Linked DNA regions of Mus musculus: region 2 is reported to be linked to region 1. Evidence: microRNA targets listed by miRTarBase, many of them from high-throughput screens and not tested one by one. Region 1 holds a microRNA gene; the other region holds the end of a gene's coding sequence.

What was found. Region 1 holds the annotated microRNA mmu-miR-425-5p (AAUGACACGAUCACUCCCGUUGA, at 2,564-2,586, shown strand). A microRNA usually pairs through its seed, bases 2 to 8, with sites in the 3' UTR of a target mRNA and lowers its output. Matches are read on the target gene's strand: a 7mer-m8 pairs with bases 2 to 8, a 7mer-A1 pairs with bases 2 to 7 and ends in A, and an 8mer does both.
Region 2: the mRNA of Clock is a reported target of mmu-miR-425-5p. Seed matches in the 3' UTR shown: 7mer-m8 at 1,765-1,771 and 7mer-A1 at 5,058-5,064.

The regions. Positions count from the first base shown.
Region 1 is chr9:108,566,226-108,571,597 of GRCm38, forward strand. Mir425 (microRNA 425) reads left to right here and starts at 2,552; the gene lies at 2,552-2,636. Ndufaf3 (NADH:ubiquinone oxidoreductase complex assembly factor 3) reads right to left here and starts at 1,211. Exons shown (of 5, transcript NM_023247.2): 1 at 626-1,211; 2 at 331-526; 3 at 116-182; 4 at 1-34. The coding sequence starts at 702. It overlaps Dalrd3 (DALR anticodon binding domain containing 3), which reads left to right and starts at 3,667. Exons shown (of 12, transcript NM_026378.3): 1 at 3,667-3,850; 2 at 3,925-4,220; 3 at 4,339-4,589; 4 at 4,667-4,746; 5 at 4,820-4,948; 6 at 5,221-5,294. The coding sequence starts at 3,686. It overlaps Mir191 (microRNA 191), which reads left to right and starts at 2,094; the gene lies at 2,094-2,167.
Region 2 is chr5:76,211,843-76,217,214 of GRCm38, reverse strand. Clock (circadian locomotor output cycles kaput) reads left to right here. Exons shown (of 23, transcript NM_001289826.1): 23 at 337-5,372. The coding sequence ends at 516. Among named protein-coding and RNA genes, the nearest start is that of Tmem165, 31 kb to the right of the region's middle.

The DNA of each region.
Region 1 (5,372 bases):
TCAGTCTTGTTTCCAGTGCCCACCACAACAATCTCTAAGGGTGGAGACAACCAAACGATGAGGGTCTGATAGAGAGGTGGTCACTTAGGACCCAGTGCTACCCACTGCCCCATACCTATCCTAGGTTCCAGCATCCAGAAAAGGGAGAAGCTCTCTTCAGTGATATCCTGATGAGATCCCACCTGTATGGTAGCAGAGGCCATTCAACACATCAAATCTATACAGCCTTTACTCACAGCGACACTAATAGGCAACAAAATAAAGCTAAATTTGCTAGGAGGGAGTGGCTTCTGGCGCTATTTAAATTTCAATGTAGGGGAGAAGGCTCACGTTCCACTGGACCACCGTCTGTGGGAGCAGCACGCAAGGGCCAAACACGCGATTTCCGCAGATAGTGAAGCCTCTGCTACTGTAGCTGTCGATGTACACGGCCTGAGGGAACTCGCTTTGCAGCAGTGAGATGCGAGTCCGCTGGTATAACTCATCGTCCGCCGGAGAAAGCCGGTGTCCCCGACGCGGGTTCCTCCTGCGGAGGGCTAAAGTCAGGAAGTCGTGGCCCGGCCGGACTATGCGGGATTGAAAGGTCCGAGGCCAAGTGGTCAGAGGCTGGACAGGGGATGCTCACCACAGCCGGTCGACGTGCCGACAGAGCGGCGCAGGTCGCGTTCGGAAAAGGCAGCGAAATCCTAGAGCAGTAGCCATGGCTGCAACGGCGCTTAACGACCCGGTCGTAGGGACAGAGTTGTCTGTCTCAAAGTAGCCACAGCGCCCCTTGCGTCCCGGAGGGCACCGCGCACCTTGAACGGCGCAGTAGGCCAATGCAGAGCCTCTGTCTCCCCATGCGGGTGTGTCAGCACCTGTCGCCCACCCCGCCCCATGCCTCCAGCGACAGTCCCTAAGGAGGAGGGGGAAAAACACCTGCTAGTACGGGCGCCCTAAGGGTATTGTTTAGGCCACTGCCGCGGCCTGTTCCTGGGATTCTCAGCCATTATTCGGGCTCCCAGGGACCAGGGCGGGGCAGCTGCGCACCTGGTCCTGTTATGAACACCTGGCCAGGGTGTGGTGCCAGCCTCCAGGCCCTTAATCCCAGGCTTTGGAGAATCGGGCTCCGGGGGCGGGGCAGATGGCTAAAATTTCCCTAGCTAGTCTCGAAATCGCTGCTTTCCCCAACCGTCACCAGCGCGACCGTTGGCGACGGCGCAGCGCTCCATGAGAGGCGTGGCCGAGCATGGATTGGCTTCCCGGCAGCGCGAGGGGGTGTGGCCAGATGGTTTCTCCTTAAAATGGCTCCAAGTCTGGGGACAGCTAGAGCCAGCGGAAGGGCACGCCGTGGCAGTGCTGGAGTAGCTGTTCGAGTGGGACTGACTGGGCCAAACCGGACCAGACGTGAAGTAGACCGCGCCTGGAGCACCACCCCGCCCTTGCGCGCTCTGCGCGCGCGTACCGAGAGTCTCCCTCCCCCTGTCTTGAGCTGAGTCTAGGGCCTACTGGCGCATGAGTCCTTGGCGTCCCGCGGCATGGGCATCTCTGCGCACCGGTTCTGTCCTGGCCTCAGAGGAACTTTGTCGCGTTCTCTATCCGCTGGACTAGACGGGTGGGATGCTTGACACAAATGGGGCTTGGCTGTGGGGTTCTTTGCAGGGCCGGTTGCAATGGGCTTGGGGGGAGGCTGTCCTGCCGCTGCTATGTGGGCCAGTTTGGCCCCTGGCACTTCATGAGCTGGCACCGTCACCAGACAAAAGGTCCTAAGCTTTGGGGAGTCCCAGAAGTGGACACATGGGTTTACTTCCTCTCGGGTCTCACGGAATCGCTTCCCTCTTGACGGATTCCGAAGCCTGCCCGGTACAAGTGGCTCCTGCTTGGGACTCACAGGGCTAATCCAGCCCTTCTGATCTAATCCGGATCAGGACCTCGTCCCGGGGGATGCCCCCACCTTCTATTGTTCTGGGGCCCAGGTGAGCGTCTCATTCTCACTAGACTGGTTTAAAACACCTACTCCTTCCTACTCAGCCCACTGGGAAGGGATGGGCGGGTTCCGGTTTGGCCTCAGGGCGAGTGACCTGGGAGCAAGAGCCCTCCTCCAATGGCTGGACAGCGGGCAACGGAATCCCAAAAGCAGCTGTTGTCTCCAGAGCATTCCAGCTGCACTTGGATTTCGTTCCCTGCTCTCCTGCCTGAGCAGCGCCCTGGCCCAGATAATGTGGTCTCTATTCTCAGAAACACTACACTACTGGGCCATTCTGATCTCCATCTCTCAGGTGCACCCCCAGACTGATGGTGGCAGTCAGAGGCGACGAAAAAAGCTCGGGCTGATGGCCCTGTCTGGAATCCCTGGAGAACTCTGACCAGGGAGGTCCTGGGTCCTCTCTCTGAAGGGCCGCAATGGCGGTGAGTCCCACAAGGCCGCCCAGCCCGCAGCTCGCTAAAGATAGATCTTCACTTCCTGGGGAAAACCCACCCCAACCGTCTTCATGGAGGGAGAGTAGCTAAAATCACCAACTTGCTGGTGGGTCCCAGCCCTGCTAGCAGCTGAACCCACACCACAGCATGGAAAGTGCTTTGGAATGACACGATCACTCCCGTTGAGTGGGCACCCAAGAAGCCATCGGGAATGTCGTGTCCGCCCAGTGCTCTTTCGGCACCTCCCAAACAGGGCCTCATAGCCCCGGCCTTCCCGAACTTTTCCTATCTCTAGATGTCACTCCTCTCCGGAGCAAAGTTCACCGGTTGGATTCATTCATTACTGGGGGAAGTGGAGTTTCACGTTACTTGGAAACGAAAGAGTTTGGACATAGAAAAGCTCACCTGCAGCTTGCTCTACCTGAGAGCTCTGCTTATTTGGGTCTTCTCATCATCACATTTGTCTTAAACTGACCAGTTGCCTAAAGAACCAAAGGTGCCGGTAACACCAGTTTAAAGGAAAAACATTAAAGGCTGGTAATCCTGGAATCATGATGACTAATTCCTCGGGTATCAAGATGGGCAATTCTATCCGATTGGGCTTTTACTGGGAATAAAGACATTCCATACCGCAGCCGAGGAAAGGCGTACCAATAATCAGAACTCAAATTTTGCTTTGTTTCGTTACTTTTCCAAGTAGGCGGTAAAGAGTCTTTAATGGAAGACACGAGTGGTGGCACACACCTTTAATCCCAGTACTCAGGAGGCAGAGGCAGGTGGATTTCTGAGTTCAAGGACTTTCTGGTCTACAAAGAGTTCCAGGACAGCCATGGCTACACAGTGAAACCCTGTCTTGAAAAACAAAGTGTCATTAATGGTACAGCCTTATTCCTTTGACATTTCGTCTCGTGCGTCTGGCCTTTAATTTGTTTAAATGGGGCAGAAAAAGAAAAAAGAGACATAAACACAAAGATGTGAAACTTTGGTGGCAAAGTGTCTTGCCTGGTAACAAAGATCCGTTATCAAAGTAATAATTCGGGGTGACGATTTTTTTAAAAAGGAGGAAAAATGGACCCTCAAATTTGGAGGTTAGGGCTCATGAATACAGGAAAGGCCATCGGGAGGGAGAGCTGGAGGCGTGGGTAGAATGTAAGCTCACTTGGCATGCTCGATCGCTCTGGTCCATTCAGGAGAGTCCACGGCCGGATCCCCGCCCCCGCCAGGCGGACCTCCCGGAAGCTCTACGGATAACTTACTTCCTGTTCCATTTAGTCTTCCGGTCGCCATGGCGACCGGGCGCCTTGGGGTTGGCGAGACGCTGGAGGCCCTTAATGCAGCTGTAGGGCCTGGTAGCCCAGTGTGGTTTAAGGAAACCCATGCCCGGCACCTTCGTGTTCGAGACTTCTTGGCACCGCGAAGCGCGCTACAGGCGCGCTTCAGGGACGGCCAGGTGGGTGCGCTCCTGTGGGGCATGCCTAGCGGGATCCACGGAACTACGGCCCACTTACACACATCTGCCTGCAGGTGCCAGAGTGCGTGTTCCGTGCGGTCTCCTGCCTGCAGGGTCCCGGAGTGGCCCCTGTACTGCGCTGCGCGCCGACACCCGCGGGTTTATCGCTCCAACTACAGCGGCCCGCTGTCTTCGAACATGTACTCGGTGCCCTGGCCTCCTATGCTACTCCCGCCAAACCTGCCTCACCAGGCCCGCGAGTTGTCCTACACTGCCCAGCACTGCGCTGTAATTCGGGGACGCTCCGATTGAGCCAGCTGCGTGCCGTGCTCGTAGCCGATCATCTAGTACGGGTACTGCGTGCTCATGGGTAAGTGCGTGTTCGAAGCTATAATGGCAAAAGACCGAACATTTGGGGATAGAAAAGGTGGGAGTCATGATAATCTAAGCCTGGTCCGCAGGCTGAGACAGCCTCCCTTGCTTTGCAGGGTACGTGTGTGCTCAGTGCCCCCGGTGCGGGACCCTCACATGTCAACTTTCCTCCAGAAACTTCGGGTGGAATGGCCCACTGCCTCGAAGAGCACCTCGACCGAAACACTGAGAACCTGTGTTCTTGCAAACCTTAATGGTTCTAAGGAAGCGACGCTGCCCCCTGGCGTCCTAGGCCGACTGTGTCTGAAGGAACTGGTAGAACAGAGAGGCACTGCTGGCTATGACCCCAGCATAGACCACTGTTTGGGTAGGACAAACGGCAGAACATGGGTGGGGTTGTGTCTCTGCACTGCCAGGCACTTCAACACCTCTTGTTTTCTGTAGTGACTGAAGATGTGCTCTCTGTGCTCTCGGAGCTGCAGGAGGCTGTGCGCCACTGGCCAGAGGGCGGCCACCCAGGCCCGGTGAGTGGCTGCCTTGACCTCTGCCCAAACTGGATTTTTGTATCTTTGTAGTAACTGCCCCATCTCTCCTCAGGCTGGGCGTCCAGATGCTGGTGTAGATGACTGCGTGGTTATACACGTGGTTAGCTGTGAAGAGGCATTCCAGCAACAAAAGCTGGATTTGCTCTGGCAGAAATTGGATGACCGGGCTCCTCACAAGCAGGTTGGTTACCAAAGTTAACCAAACCACCTCCGACCTCAGGCCTGGAATACCATGGGGTTTAGAGACTGATGTGACCATAGGCACCCGTGCTACAAGTGCAAATGTCCTGTGACTATGTAGTCTTAAGAAAAAGGATGATGGTGTCTTGAGGAGGTACGAAGGAAGGCTGGTGGTTACAGATTGGGAAAACCAAGGTAGAAAAGCAACTGATATAGTTCCCTGAAGCGGGGAGGGTAGTGCCAACTGGGCTGAGCCCTTCCAGTCTTTCACAGAAACACCTGGTGTGTGGTCCCGTGAAAATGGCTGGTGTACCCGGCACCCAGCTGACTGCCCCTCAGTACTACAGGTGAGTATGAAAGGGATGCCATCCACAGCCACCAACAGCGTAAAGGTAGGGACAGCTTTCACTGAGACCTTGCTTACT
Region 2 (5,372 bases), not on the chromosome of region 1:
TGTGCACTGTCAGTCTGACCAGGCAGTGTTCGTGTCCTATCCAGACACAGCTGTGCTCTAGTTTACTGCTTAGAATTTGGGCCTGTAGGAAATAAAAATATGTGGCTTGTCTCAAGACAGATTATACTTTGTACCATGAAATTCCCATCAAGAATTCCTCAAAAAAGTCAAATCTTACGTGTTCAGAAAGAAGGCAAGGTTTTTGTTTTCCAAAAATAGTTTTTAGATTAGCAAACAGAATGAGAGTTTAAAGCCCTGTGTCTGTGGGCTGTGGGCAGTGTGAACTGACGAGTGTGAAGGCAGGAAGCCAGACTGCATCATCCTTTTTGTTTTTAGACATCTAGGTTGCTCCACGGGAATCCTTCGACACAGCTCATCCTCTCTGCTGCCTTTCCACTACAACAGAGCACTTTCCCTCCTTCGCACCACCAGCAACACCAGCCTCAGCAGCAACAGCAGCTTCCTCGGCACAGGACTGACAGCCTGACTGACCCTTCCAAGGTCCAGCCACAGTAGCACACACACTTCCTCTCTGACATGCGAGAGGAAGGGGATGGCCAGAAAGAATCGCTCAGTTGGCATGCGGTCAGAAGTTGAACAGTTTCACGAGGGTGGTCTTGAGTGTTCAGTCCCTTGATGAGACGGTAGGGAAGTGCTGCCCAGTGCTTCAGATGTCCATTAAATACCAGCCAGTGGGAAATGGTCATAGGGACACAGCCAATTCTGACAGTTTCTTTGCCCAGGTATTTTTTGATAGAAAGAGTATATTGCCAAATGCTAACAAGCTCAGCTATCAACCAGATCTTTACTGAATCCGAAGAGCACTAACAGTGTTGGTAGCTTTAGTGGGTCTGTGCCTGCATCAAATATTACAGAGGGCACACCACTGCCAGGGGTTTGCTTAGAATGCCATGAAGATAGTCCAGTAGTTAATAGTCCCCACCCCAAACTCCTCTCCCTGTTCAGACAATGATGGAACCGTGATGACTTTGAGAATGTTGTGCAGGTTTGAATTCACTGTGTACAGATGCTGTAGTGTCTCTGTGTCTGGATGGAGGAGAGAAAGCCACTTTGATACAGAAAGCATTATCTGTCCCTCACAGGTATGAGTGCATTTCATTAGGTTTGACACCATGTACAAACTGATAACAACCTCTCTTTTTTCATTTTGTTTACAACACAGTAGTGTTCTCGTTACTTTTCCAGGGCACAAGTCTTTTTGTCCGTGCTTTGGCTGTGATGTCACAGTTTGTTCAGTGAGGTAACAATGTGCTGCTGGGAATGGATTTTTTTTAAGGTTAAATTATTGCTACATTTCCACTTACTCAGAAATATCCCTTATTTCATTATTTTTCAATTATGTTTGAGAGAATTGCACTGCTTTATTATTTTAGATGGTTGGTTGAGAGTTTAATCACATATTTTGATATATTTCATAGTTGGAATATTTATGTAAATGGTTTTCAACAAGCCTGAAAGTAATTTCAAGAATGTTTCAGTTGTAAGAGTAAAGTTTGCACACAAAACATTTTAGGCACTTTTTTAACATTCTCAGAGGTGGGAATTTTAACTTTTAGGATTTGTTGGAATCTTTTTATTATCTTTAAAAATTTCAATGCTTCTTTTAGTCAGAAATGATTCAGGGTTATTTGAGGGGAAAAAACCCATAGTGCCTTGATTTTAATTCAGGTGATAACTCACCATCTTGAATTCATTGTCTGGTTTCAGTAGCAGTTTTGAAACCTTAGTACATTTTTAGCAGCAGTGTCATTCTCAAGTCCCCATGAGGACTGCTGCGTCTCTTGGGCTGCCTGACAGCGTCACAGCTGGGAATGGGATCCCAAAATCGTTTCCTGTTTGCATCTTCCTCTAAAGCTAAGTAACTCTTTTAGGAATTACCAGTAAATACTTGCTCAGAGACAAGGGACAAGTTGTCTTTAATTTTCATTGCAGCACTAGAATAATGTAACTCACATGCTTTTTAAACATTAAGATTTCATTTGGCAATATCATTCTCTACAGGTAATAAACTCCAACAAAGCTACATACATTTTAAAAGGCATTTTTTTAGATTTTATGGTACTAATAATGAGTTTTTCAATTAAAGAACAAAAGATCAGTAGGATATAGAATATCAAGTATTACTGAGAAAAGGGAGGATAAGTGTGGCACATTAGAATTGACCTTAAAAGGAAAGTATGTGATGGTGAGGTGCTAAACTGGTTTCAGCAGTGCAGATAACCTAAGGCAGAGTTGCTAGATCAGGGCTTGGGGAACTCGGAGTCAGCTATCTGTCTCTAGCTTTGCTCTCATCATCAGTAAGTGTGTCTTTGTTTTCCTGTTTACCTGACTGCAATTAAGTTAGCAAGTTAGTGATAAAAAGAAAACAACCAAAGAAAATTGGTACCTACTCTTCTGCATAAGAAGTGTGTCTAGATACCAGTCAGTAACTCACATATCACAGAGTTCTTCTAGCTGACATTCATACGAATACCAGAAATAGTTGTGAGAATACACATTTATGCAAGTTTGTGCACACGTGACGAAATCAATGTAAGTCGAGCACCCACATTGCTTTTCTCCCTTCCACATTGCCTTCTTCTCTTTGGCCATTCCATGTCCTCGGAGTCGGAGCTGTGCCTCGTTTATCTTTTTGCATCACATAGCGATAAGAATTTAGCTACAGGAGATACAACATGCTAGTTATGTAATGCCTGCTGTTCTTCACAGTTCATCTCCCTGCTTAAAAGTAGCAGTTGATAAGAAACTCTAGCTGCTAAGGCTGCTGTCCACACGGAGATGCATGCTGGGCAACAGTTGTCAGCACTAGCTGCCTCTTAGCTCCTTAATTCTTGGTTCCTTTGGATGGCAAACTGTCTTTGTCTGCTCCCCACACGACTCCAGTATTCTGAAGAAAGTTCATCTTTTGCCTGTTCATTTCTGTAGCCAAAGCTGACTGAAACCCCAAATCTAAATCATGAAAAGATACCAAAAAGAAACACTTCTCAGCTTCTTAGAAACCTTAACTTCTCTTGCTGTATTTCATGGATTTGATTTTCTTTGAAATTTTTGATTCTGGGCAGCGCCTTTTAATTAAGAAATTGTTAGGATGAAGGTCAAACAGGTTCTCATTGCCCTGCAGGTACCTTGCTCTGGACTGCTTCTGTATGGGGTGACTTGGGGTTGCTGAACACACAGGATTAGAACAGTAAACACAAAGCTGCCCTTGAGGCTGGCGTTAAACCAGAGCCTCAATATTGAAAATATCAAGTCCTCTTTCCTTCCTTAGAGACGAGACTGTGAGAGGAAAGCAACTGTGGTAGGTGGGCTTGCTTGCACATGAGCACCAAGACCATTCCCCAAGCTCTATCCTCAGGGTAGCATTTAGAGTGCTGTGTTCTGCTGTCACATAGACATGGCTTAGGGATGTAGCACTAATAAAAGAATGCCCGTGCTTTTGAATAGTTGTGATAGCAAACTCTAGGCTAACTAGCAAGTGTTTGAATTCTGTGTGCTGTATAGTAGTTGGTCATTGCCTTAAAGCAGTCTCTTGGAAGTTGGGAGCACTGAAGCAGTCCAACCATATATGGGCATCACGTTGAGGGAGATGAGCCTTGTTCAAGCCTTAGAAAGGACCCTTAGTCTACACAGGTAGATTCTTTTCACTTGGATATTACTGTGTTTAAAATGTTTCCACTATGTTGAGGCAGTTTTTTAAAGTGGAACACAGATAGGATTTTTAGTATTTCTTTTTTTGTTTCTTTGGTGATTAAAGGTTTGTTGGTAGACATTTGTGTAAAAGTTGTTCAAGCCTATCATCTTTCCAGTACTTGTGGTCCTGTTCTTAGTACCAGAGTCCACAATGGAAAGTGTAAACACTGGATATTAATATTGCTGAGGGTGCATAGCCAGGTGTGAGCTGACTGGAACTTCTCAGTGGTGAAGAAACAGCACAACGGCACTTGCCATTTTCATAGTGATTGCATAAAGAGACCTTCTAAGTTTGTCTGGATTGAGTGAACACTCTTCTAAGAGGAGCTTCTCAAGTAAATGCAAAGGAAAAGAGTTGACTATTTTTATAGCATATTTAATATATTTGTATATAACTATGAGTGTAGTAGGAACCCTCCACATGCCTCCCACTTTTCTAATTCCCTCCCCTTCTGCCGTAGCCCTAGTCCAGCCTCATCCGCATGGGTAATGTGCCTACTGTCAGCCTACCTACCAAAAGATAGTGCTGCTGCTTTCTGAGACAGGTGAGATCAGACTCTCATGCCTGGGGATCCTTATGGGAGGAATAGCACACACTTAGAACAACATACCACAGTTTAAGAGCATCATTTTGAAAGGTAATAAGCACTTTATTGCAATTATTCATTTAGATAAAGTTTGTATCTTAGGCATTAACCGTTTTTAAAGGATCCCTAATCATCACTTAGGTGAAATGATAAACGACACATTTCTGAGAAATGTTCAGGTCCAGTGAACCGTAGCAGGTTTATGGGAATGATTTCAAGGTAGCCAAATAAACTCTGACTTTTGTTTTGAATGTGGTGGAGTCAGGAGATTGTAGATGTGTAGTTTGATTTAAACACTATTGTAAACCTATCTTGCCTATTGTGTGGACACCAAAAGAGACCAATGAGCCTGTTTATTTTCAGAGGTCTAGGAATATGCATCTGTCTGAGTAGATATACAGAACTAATCTATAAACGGTTGGTAGTAATATTTTAGGATACAGTAACTTCAAGAATTATTGAGTGTTTTAAATGTGCCCTGAAATGTTGGCATGTCATTTCAGCGTTCCCATTTGAGTTGCTCTTGTAATATTTTTGCACAAAAAGGACTGAGAAAAGACTGCTTTGGTTGAAGAAAACTATAATTTGGTCTTATTTTAATGTCTCCTGTGGAAACACTGGAGGTAAATTTGTTGGCATAGTTACTAATTCAGGATATTTAAAACAGTGTTGAACAGCTCATCAGAAATTAAGCAAACTTATATATTTAAAAATTAAAAATCTTTTTTTCCATGTGACTGTTTTGCATATTTTTTCCGTTGTCATACCACACTACATTCCTTGGTTTTTTTTCTGAAATAATAATTTGTGAAAGATTTGAGTATTCAACAATATTTTTTAAGACGCCTGGGTTTTCCCAGGAAAATGTCCTAGTGAAGTAAGTTATAGCTATATATAGTTTGTGGAGACTATTGAGATTCCATCAACACCACCAGCAAACACTGAGGTGCTGAACCAAGAGACAATCATAATAGTAAGTATTTACAGGACTTAGGAGAGGCTGCAAGGAACACTTGTTCCCAAAGCAGTTCTCTGGGTCTCCTAAATAAAATGGCTGTGTATTTAGATTTCTAC